Anolis sagrei: one gene and its partners. The protein of the gene in region 1 interacts with the protein of each later gene in a pairwise test. Links are inferred from orthologs where the notes say so. Each region holds a gene or a part of one and is shown on either strand. Other genes may lie near its edges.

Region 1 (3,757 bases):
ATAACTCCCAGCTACTACAACTCCCAAGTGTTAAGGTTATTTTCTCCAAACTCCACCAGTGTTCACATTTGGGCATATTGAGTATTTGTGTAGTTTGGTCCAGATCCATCATTGTCTGAGTGCACAGTGTCCTCTGGATGTAGGTGAACTACAACTCCCAAACCAAAGGACACTGCCCTCCGAACCCTTCCAGTATTTTCTGTTGGTCATGGGAGTTCTGTGTGCCAAGATTGGTTCAATTCCATCATTGGTGGAGTTCAGAATGTTTTTGATTGTAGCTGAACTATAAATCCCAGCAACTACAACTCCCAAATGACAAAATCATCTTTTTTTGAGTGATCGTCACTCCTTGTGTAGTGAGACGTTTTGTTGCCAAATTTGGTGTGATTTCGTTCATTGGTTATTTTGTTTTTAAGATACTCATTATGCACAGAGAATATAGATAGATAGATAGATTGATTGATTTTTAGATATAGATAGATAGATAGATAGATATAGATAGAAGATAGATAGATAGAGATAGAAGATAGATAGATATAGATAGATAGATAGCGATAGATTAGATAGATAGATATAGATAGATAGATTAGATGGATAGATTGTTGTTGTTCATTCGTTCAGTCGTCTCCGACTCTTCGTGACCTCATAGACCAGTCCACGCCAGAGCTCCCTGTCGGCCGTCACCACCCCCAGCTCCTTCAAGGTCAGTCCAGTCACTTCAAGGATGCCATCCATCCATCTTGCCCTTGGTTGGCCCCTCTTCCTTTTGCCTTCCACTTTCCCCAGCATCATTCTCTTCTCTGGATAGATTAGATAGATAGATAGATAGATAGATATAGATAGATATAGATAGATTAGATGGATAGATAGATTAGATAGATTGATAGATAGATATAGATAGATTAGATAGATATAGATAGATTAGATAGATAGATTGATAGACATAGATAGATTGATAGATTAGATAGATAGATATAGATAGCGATAGATAGAGATAGATAGAGAAAGATATAGATAGAAGATAGATAGATAGATATAGATAGAAGATAGATAGATATAGATAGTAGATAGATATAGATAGAAGATAGATAGATAGATAGATAGATAGATAGAGAGAGAGAGAGAGAGAGATTAGCTGCTTCCTTCCTCTCCTTGCAACCCAAACAAAACGAAAAGGGGGCGTGCCCTTCACGAAGCCCCGCCCACGGCAGCTCTCCCGAGCCACTCAGAGGCGAGGCCCGAGCCGCCCTGTCGCCCCGCCCCCTTTTGGCAAGGCGCGCGTGCGCAGTGGGCAGTAGGCGGGGCCTGGTGGAGAGGAAGGACGCAAGGGAAGGAGGAGGAGGAGGAGGAAGGAGGGAGAGAGCGGCCATCTTGTTGTCGCGTCGCTGTTGCTGCCGCTGCCGTCGCCGCCGCCTCCCAGGCCGCCATCGTCCCGAAAGGAGCCAGCGGCCGAGGGCGGAGGCGCGGGAGCGCGAGAGCGGAGGGGGGAGCCCAGGGGCCGCAGCCGGAGGAAGGAGCCACAGCCGGGCGCGGGCGGGTAAGCTCCAACCCAGGCTCGAGGCCTGACGAGGGAAGGGAGGCCTCGCTGAGGGAAGGCCAGGGAAAGGGAAGCGGGGGGAAATGCAAATGGCGCCGCTTCCGGTCGGGGCTCGAAAGGGAGAGACGTCCCTCCTGAGTCAGGCCTCGCTCCTGACTCTCTGAGGGAGGTGCGGCCTAGCGGGGGAAGCGCATCCCCGGCCTCGCGTGGCGCGCTTCCCCGCCCAGCACGCACCCTGGCTCGGCCTCGCCTTCCCGCCCCCTCCCGCTCCCCCTTCTTTTTCTCCCACAAACTCTCCCCATTTCTTCTCTCCATCCCCAATTTCGGGATGCAGCCGACCTTTGTTTGCGCCCTCAACTCTTTTGGCGAAAGGGGCGTATCCTAACACAATATACAACAACATAATAATATTAATATAATGCTAATATAATAATAATAATAATAGTAATATTAACTGTATTTATACCCCGCTACCATCTCCCTAAGGGAGCCCACAGCACATCAGTAAACAAAAGCAATAGCAATAATCAATACAAAACAGTTAATATACACAATATACAATTATTATTCTTATATTAACCACAATATACAACACTATAGTAATACTAATATAATGCTAATATAATAATAACTTTATTTGTACCCCACTGCCATCTCCCTAAGGGAGCCCACAGCACATCAATAACAAAAGCAATAACAATAATCAATACAAAACAGTTAATATACACAATATACAATTATTCTTATTATTAACCACAATATACAACACTATAGTAATACTAATATAATGCTAATATAATAATAATAACTTTATTTGTACCCCACTGCCATCTCCCTAAGGGAGCCCACAGCACATCAATAACAAAAGCAATAACAATAATCAATACAAAACAGTTAATATACACAATATACAATTATTCTTATTATTAACCACAATATACAACACTATAGTAATACTAATATAATGCTAATAATAATAATAATAATAACTTTATTTGTACCCCACTGCCATCTCCCTAAGGGAGCCCACAGCACATCAATAAACAAAAGCAATAGCAATAACCAACACAATATACTATTATTATTATTGTTATTATTAACTTTATTTGTACCCCGCTAGCATCTCCCGAAGGACTCGATGCGGCTTACACAGGCCAAGGCCTGAATAAAAACACAGCATAACAACAATATAGTAATACTAATATAATGCTAATATAATAATAACAATAATAATAACAAATTTATTTGTACCCCGCTAGCATCTCCCTAAGGGAACCCACAGCACATCAATAAACAAAAGCAATAACAATAATCAATACAAAACAGTTAATATACACAATATACAATTATTATTATTGTTATTATTAACCACAATATACAACGCTATGGTAATACTAATATAATGCTAATATAATAATAATAATAATAATAATAATAACTTTATTTGTACCCTGCTACCATCTCCCTAAGGGAGCCCACAGCACATCAATAACAAAAGCAATAACAATAATCAATACAAAACAGTTAATATACACAATATATTATTGTTATTAACCACAATATACAACACTATAGTAATACTAATATAATGCTAATATAATAATAATAATAACTTTATTTGTACCCCGCTACCATCTCCCCAAGGGAGCCCACAGCACATCAATAAACAAAAGCAATAACAATAATCAATACAAAACAGTTAATATACACAATATACAATTATTATTCTTATTATTATTAACTTTATTTGTACCCCGCTAGCATCTTCCGAAGGACTCGATGCAGCTTACACTAGGCCAAGGCCTCAATAAAAACATAACATAACAACAATATAGTAATACTAATATAATGCTAATATAATAATAATAAAAATAATAATAATAATTGTATATTGTGTTAGGAGATGGTAGCGGGGTACAAATAAAGTTGTTGTTATTATTAACTTTATTTGTACCCCGCTAGCATCTCCTAAAGGACTCGATGCGGCTTACACAGGCCAAGGCCTCAATAAAAACGTAGCATAACAACAATATAGTAATACTAGTATAATGCTAATATAATAATAATAATAATTGTATATTGTGTTAGGAGATGGTAGTGGGGTACAAATAAAGTTGTTATTGTGTATTGTGTTGGGGAGATGGTAGCAGGGTACAAATAAAGTTGTTGTTATTATTATTATTATTAACTTTATTTCTACCCCGCTAGCATCTCCCGAAG
Region 2 (3,757 bases), on another chromosome or scaffold:
GTCTCCAAAGAATTTCCAGGAAAACAGCCCTAAAGACCAAAGAACTCCAGCTGGAGAACATCTACTGCCTTGCTGGTAGGTCCACTCGGCATTCGAGATGCAGTTCGACCCTGTAGCGGAGTCCACATCAGTAAGGGTTAGATTACAGTCAGCCTGGGAGAAGTTAAAACGGGGATTTTCCTTTAAAGAAGAAGTTATTGAAAACAGTTGCCTGTCCTTCATGGGCAAGATTAGGAATTCACCAGTTGCCTAAAAGCTTGGAATCATTTGCTTAACTTTACTGAAGACAAGAGAAGTTTCTGTTTGATTGTTCTTTAATAAAAGACTTTGTTGTACTTCTCAAGCCATCTAAAGACGGTTTGTGGTGGAAACCTCTGAGAACTTCTCTTTAGGCCTCCTGGCTTCCCGCTGGGCAAAGATTGCACATCCTGTTCTAAAGACAATTATTTACAGGCCCAGCACAGGACAGAACAATAGTGAAGCAACCAAGTTTGGGGGAGGGGGGATGTTGAATGCTCTCATTAAGGAGGCCAGACTTGGTGGAGGTGGTTGACAAGGACGGAGCTGCAGGCTATTGAAGGCTGCTCTGCCCCCTGCTGTGCTCTTTGCTACAGCGTGAGCTAGGAGGCAGGTTTCAACCCCCCCCCTTGCGAAATTTTCAACCTCCCCCCCCCCCCGAAAATTTAAACCCCTCCCGAAATTTTTTTCTGGCTACGGCCCTGCCTGGAGGGCCCAAGTTTGTCCATGCCTGTGAGTCTACACTGCAGACTTAACGCAGTTTGGACACCACTTGAAGTGCCATGGCTCCATGCAATGGAATCATGGGATTATGAAGTTCTTTGGCAGAGAAAGCTAAAGGACCTTGCAAAACTATAACTCCCATGACGTCACAGTTTTAAAAGTTGTGTCGGAGTGTATTAATTCATTCTGCAGCGTAGATGCACCTTACTGCAAAACAAGAGGCAAGGAAGGAGAGAATGAAAAAAAAAAAAGAAGCAGCAGCGCTCTTCGGACTCTAAAAGGCAAAGGAGACAAACAATTGGAAGAAGGAGGGGGAAAAAGGGGGGGCGAAAGGGGAAGGGCAGGGGGCGGGGCGTTCTGCCATGATGGGGAGGAGGGGGCGTGCCTTCCCGAACAGCACAGCCCAATAAGCGTGCTAGGGTTGGTCACAGAGTGAGGAAGGCAGCCAATGGGAGGCGAAGGGGCGTGGCTGAGTGGGTGCGGGTGCCTTGTGCTGGAGCTAAGCTCATCTTTCGGGCTCCCATCCTCCTCCTCTCCCTTCCTTTTTTTTCCTATCCGGCAAAACTGAGCCTGCAGCTCTCCGTCCTCGCGCTGGCGAAAGAAGCGGCCGTTGAAGGGGAGGCAAGCGGGCGCGAGGGGGAAGGAGCGGCGCGCGCCGAGGAAGGAGCCGCTCGCGCCCCCTCCCCTCCGCGTCACTTCAACAGACCCTCCGTCCTCTCTTGGCGAGCGCGAGGCAGTCAGTCCAGTCAGTCAGTCAGTCGCTCAGCGAGAGAGTTGACTTTATTTTTCCCCTCTCTGGCGAACGCGGGACTCTTCGGCTGAGGGAGGAAAGGAAAGAAGAAGGTGAGGGGTTTGTTCTCCGCCTGGGAATATAGGGAAGTCAAGCGCGGTGCGAGAAGGACTACCTGGGGGCCTCCCTCGGCCCGGCCTCCGTCCCACCACCGGCACCTCTCTCTCGGGGACCTTTCCCCCCTCAGACCGTCGTTTTGTGGGTGAGAGAGAGAACTGGCTGGGATGCTTCAGGCTTGGGCTCTTGTCGCCTTGTGTATGTTTGCGTGTTGTGAGCTCTGTTATGATTTCAGGGGCATTTCTAGTCTAGGCTTTCACCCCCCTCTCTTTTCTCTTTCTCTGGAATGCCCGAGACTTGTAGGGGCCTTGATACTGCAGGAATGCACTGTGTATGTATGACTATATGGACTAGGTGGGGGTGTTTAACACTTGTGGGTCTTTTATAGTGTATATTTTAAGTCTGTGTGTGTGGGTAAAGCTATTAACAACACTATTTATAACAACACTTTATTTGTATTGTCGAAGTTGTTCATGGACGGAATCATTAAGTTGTTGTGAGTTTTCCGAGCTGTATGGCCATGTTCCCGAAGCATTCTTACCCTGGACCTTCCACAGATATAGAAACCCAATTTCCCAGTTTCCAACAAACCTCACAACCTTGCCACAGATGCAGGCAAAACGTCAGGAGGGAATGCTTCTAGAACATGGCCGTACAACCTGAAAAACCTACAACAACCCATTCTCTTCTGACGTTTCGCCTGCATCTGTGGCAGACAACCTCAAAGATCGTGAGGTCTGAATGCTTCTGGAACATGGCCATACAGCCCGGAAAACTCACAACAACCCAACACTTTATTTATAACCCGCCTTCTCTCCCCCCCTTTATAGTTCAGGCAAGGAGTGTACTGACAATGGACAGGCTTTGGACACTGAATTAGACTTAGATATGGCTATATGGTTGATAATAATGTTTTAAATTGATTATTAACCTAATGTTTTTATCTAAAACGTAATGTCATGGTATAGTGTGTTTTTGTATGTGTTGGCATCGAATTGTTGCTGGTGTAAGCCGCCCTGAGTGCCCCCCCCCCCTTGTGGTTGAGAAGTACAGGGCACAAATAATACATGTGTGCAAAAGATTTGTGGGTATACCAGGCATGGGCAAACTTATTGTGTATACCATTTATACCAGGCATGGCGTACTTTGGCCCTCCAGGTGTTTTGGACTTCAACTCCCACAATTCCTAACAGCCACTTCCTAATTCAATCCATGTTCCCCACCCTTGTGATGGTAGAATGTGGACTTCATTACCACTGAGCCTAATTGGAGCCAAACATACCCAAAGATGTATTGTCAAAGGCATTCATGGCCCAAATCACTGTCCCAGAAGCATTATCTCTTGACATTTTTCTTGCATCTATGGCCGGAATCCTCATACCCAAAGATGGTGAACCAGATTTGCTCTCCCAGATTTTGGCCTTGAGGTGGGATGCAAAACTCCTCCTCTTGATTTTCCTTTCCTTGACAAAATAACCATGTAGGTTGGGTCCAGGCAATCTGCCTCTCCATATCATAGAAACACAGAGTTGGAAGAGTCCACAAGGGCCGTCCAGCCCCATATGAATCTTGGGTTCATGGCATGACTTCTCTAACAACATTTAGTAGCATATGTAGGAATAAATTGAAAAGAATAGGGATAGGTTCCTACACAAAAAGGGAGTTAAAATAACTAATACGCACATTTGAAATAGACATATGCTCAAATCCTCTGTGTGAGAGAGAACCGGTTGAGGTGCTTTGGATTTGTGGGGATTTTATATAGTGTAGGCATAAATTAGGTGTGTACATTCATGTGGGTAAGTCTGCTGGGGTGCTTAAGACTACGGAGCATTTATATAGCCCTGGCACGGGCAAACTTAGTCCCTCCAGGTGTTTTGAATTTCAGCTCCCCCAATTCCTTACAGCCATAGTTACACAGTATATGTATGCGAACTGGCAGGGTGTATGTGCATAAGACTCGCGGGGCTTTTGTAGTGTAGTGTAGTGTGTTTGTGTATGAGCTAGCTGGAGCACTTAAGTCTTGTGAGGTTTTATAGGATAGGAATACACTATGTGAACTGCTGAGGGTGCTTAAGATTTATGAGGATTTTATAAGAGTAGGCACACTGTGTGTGAGCTGCTGGGGTGCTTAAGATTTTTGGAATATTTATGCTGTAGGCATGCAGT
Region 3 (3,757 bases), on another chromosome or scaffold:
ATCAATCAGTGTTCACATTTGGGTGTATTGAGTATTCATGCTAAGTTTGGTCCAGATCCATCATTGTTTGAGTCCACAGTGATCTCTAGAGGTAGGTGAACTATAACTCCAGAACTCAAGGTCATTGCTCACCAAACCCTTTCAGTATTTTCTGTTGGTCATGAGAGTTCTGTGTGCCAAGTTTGATTCAACTCCATTGTTGGTGGAGTTCACAATGCTCTTTAATTGAGGTTAACTATAAATCCCAACAACTACAACTCCCAAATGACAAAATCAATCCCTCCCAACCCCACCAGCATTCAAATTTGGACATATCGGGAATTTGTTCCAAATTTGGTCCAGTGAATGAAAATACATCCTGCATGTTAGATATTATTTACATTACAATTCATAACAGTAGCAAAATTACAGCTATGAAGTAGCAACAAAAATAATATTATAGTTGGGGGTCTCCACAACATGAACTATATTAAGGGGTTGCAGCATTAGGAAGGTTAAGAACCATTGCCTTAATTGCTCCGTGAAATTACTGTTTCAACAGAGAATTTGATACCAGAGTCATGTATAACATGGAAATAATAGAGTTCTATTCCTACACCATAGAAAAGAACAACAGCAAACTTTTGTTCAAAACAAATAATATGCTCATGCAAAGTGAAACTACCAGATCCAAGTAATTAAGTAAATTAAAACATTTTGAACATTTTAGAGACAGTTTGGAACTGTTTTCCAAAAAGTATCCAGGGGTAATCTGTTTATTTTCTCAACAGCCTTGACTTTTCTTATGCTTTCCACTTTTCCAGCTGGTTTTAAAATATCCTGGTTTCTTTCTTGTCCTCCCACTTTCTCTTTTTTTCTTCATTTTTTTTCAGTTGCTGCAAACTGATTTCAAAGTGAAAAAAATAGTACACACATATATAAACAGGAGACCAGTGGGATGGGTCTTTTACTTTTATGTAAATGGCATAAACATTAGACCTGTTTAGTCATTCTGTGAGTCACTGGATTACCTCCCTCCCTTTTGTCCTGCCTGAACAAAGTCCACAAGGCATTCAGTCTGACAGGAGACCTTTTGTGTCCAGTGTGCCCCTGCTTTAAACTGTTGCTGGATTTCTCTCTTCTTTCTCCCTCCCCACCCAAAATACTCACACTCACATCTGGCTAGCTGTGACTGTTTCTCTTTTTCTTCCTTTCCTGTTCAAGCAAGGAGAAGAATTGGACAGAAGGGCTACCATTGACCTCCAATAATAAAATCAGCAGACTGCAGAAAAGCCAGAATTCTGAATATCTGTTGTTTGGGAGCTTGTTTGGCTTTTGGAGTTGGGAGATTTCCAGAACACACTGTCAGTGGATCGGTTGGTAGAGCCAAAGAAGACCAAAGCATGCAGGCTGCTGATGTGCATACGCGTTTGCTTGCATCTAGCACCAGGTTTATTGCTGATGTGCTGGCCTCTTTCCTGCCTAACAACCGGGAAATGGAAGATCCAAACAGAAGGGAGAGTGCATCTTCAGAGGGCAGCTCCTCTCCAGAGGAAACCAGGGGCCGGCAAATCTATTTGTCACACTCTGGTATGAGATCGGAAGAAAAGCGACTCAGGACCTTCCGGCACTGGTCAGAGCAGGTACCTGTCTCTCCATCCGACTTGTCTGCAGCTGGGTTTTTCTTCATTGGGCCTGGTGACCACGTGGAGTGTTTCTGCTGTGGAGGAGTGCTTTACGACTGGACTGCTGAAGACGACCCCATGGTGGAGCATGAGAAGTTCTTCCCAAGCTGTCCCTTCATCCAGGGCAGGGATTTCGGCAACCAGCCCCTGCCTCGGGCTGGAGAAATCCCGGACTGTGTGGATGGCCAGTTCCTTGGCATGCTGCAAAGTTTGAACATGGAAGAAGCTGCCGGAGACAGCCAACCGGAATATCCAGATCTGGAAATGGAAAGGGATCGCCTGAGGACATATCACTGCTGGCCACCCTACGCTCACGTGTCTCCAGAGGAGCTGGTGGGAGCAGGCTTTTTCTACACAGGTATGCACAAATACCAGCACTGTCCTGCTAGGTCTTACCCAAAGTCCAGGTAGTACAGTATTCTGGTCCCAGCAGGTCTTTTTCAGGGAACTCGAAAATAATATTGCAAAACCAATTACTTTACTTGTTTATTAATGTTGAATGTGCATTGAAAGTACTTCTGTTTGTGAAGGCTCCATTTCAGTCATCATGTTCAGAATGGTTTGACTTTGAAAGAGGAGGTCTAGGAAGAATATTTTATTTCAACAGGCATTTAGCAATTAGCTTGTTGGTGCAGAAGTGCTTTTTAATAATATAAGATATTGCACACACATATAATATTGATAACAATATTATAATGTAGTACAATATAATACTACTAATAATACAATATCATAATTATATATTTTATTACATGTAATATTAGTAATAATATTACAGTATAATGGTATAGTACAATATAGTAATATATAATACTAATATTGTGCTGTGCTAATAATATATTGTATACACATATAATATTGATAATATAATGTAATCTATGCAAATAAAAAATGTAATGTTCATTTGTGGGATTAACATAACTTAAAAACCACTGGGCAAATTGACACCAAATGTGGACACAATATACCTCTCAGCCCAATGAGTGACCATAACTCATATAAACACTGAAAAACACAGCGGAAGGGACTTAAAAAGCAACAAAAAAAGAAATAAATGCTACAGCGCATGCGCAAAATGGCTCCCTTGGCAAAAAAACCCCCCACACAATAGCATATCCACACTCTCTTCCGGACTACAGCTCCCAGCATCTCCTAGACCAGGCCCCTTAGGAGAGGAGGATGATCCAAATGCACTGCTTCCAAGATGCAAGCTTGCTTCTCCTTGGATTTCTTTGAGAGCATCTCAATCCCTGCATATTTCCAATTTCCTATTCCTGGACTGCAACTCCCACCAATCTTCCAGATAAATAGATAGATTAGATAGAGATTGGTAGGTAGATAGGTAGATAGATGGATCAGGAGGGCTGTTGGGAGTTGCAGTCCAAGAATAGGTAAAGAAGGAAAAAAGAGGAAGGGAAAGAAAGGGAGGAAGAAAGGGAAAAGGAAGGGAAGGAAGGAATGAGAGAAAGAAAGAAAAAAGGGAAGGGAGGAAAAAAGGGAAGAGGGTGAGAGGGAAGGAGAGAAAGAAAAGAGAAAGAGAGAGGGAAGGTCAGACATAGCAATGTGTAGTGGGTACAGCTAGTAGAATATAATATTGATATTATAATGTAACATTACAAATCAGCCATAGCAGAGCACCTGACAAACCACCTGGACACAGCATTTTGTTTGAGAACACCGAAATGCTGGACCACTCTCACAACCACCATGTCAGACTACACAGAGAAGCCATTGAAATCCACAAGCATGTGGACAATTTCAACAGAAAGGAAGAAACCATGAAAATGAACAAAATCTGGCTACCAGTATTAAAAAACTCTAAAATTGCGACAGCACAACAACAGAGAGGAAACAAACAAGGACATCTAATCACTTCTCAACAAAAGTTTGCTCCAGGCACTGTCAGGCCATTATATGCTAATCAAGGTGATCAGTTGAAACATTCACACCTAGCTCCAGCAGACAAGAGTCCTTTGTCCCACCCTGGTCATTCCACAGACATATAAACCCTTTTTCCTAGCTCCAACAGACCTCACTGCCTCTGAGGATGCTTGCCATAGATCAGGGGTTCTCAAACTAAGGCCTGAGGACCG

The links.
Region 2: the proteins of DDX6 (region 1) and SIPA1L2 interact in binary tests that used the Homo sapiens proteins (3 or more experiments, as listed by UniProt). The two-hybrid records come from large-scale screens. The link is inferred for Anolis sagrei from reciprocal best matches to the Homo sapiens genes DDX6 and SIPA1L2.
Region 3: the proteins of DDX6 (region 1) and BIRC7 interact in a two-hybrid assay, tested with the Homo sapiens proteins (3 studies listed by BioGRID and IntAct). The two-hybrid records come from large-scale screens. The link is inferred for Anolis sagrei from reciprocal best matches to the Homo sapiens genes DDX6 and BIRC7.

The regions. Positions count from the first base shown.
Region 1 is NC_090027.1:43,714,084-43,717,840, reverse strand, and holds the start of DDX6 (probable ATP-dependent RNA helicase DDX6), read left to right. Parts: upstream 1-1,331; 5' UTR 1,332-1,537; intron 1,538-3,757.
Region 2 is NC_090021.1:60,225,688-60,229,444, forward strand, and holds the start of SIPA1L2 (signal-induced proliferation-associated 1-like protein 2), read left to right. Parts: upstream 1-1,208; 5' UTR 1,209-1,584; intron 1,585-1,607; exon of another isoform or gene 1,608-1,733; intron 1,734-3,757.
Region 3 is NC_090024.1:235,233,892-235,237,648, forward strand, and holds the start of BIRC7 (baculoviral IAP repeat-containing protein 7), read left to right. Parts: upstream 1-1,040; 5' UTR 1,041-1,382; coding exon 1,383-2,022; intron 2,023-3,757.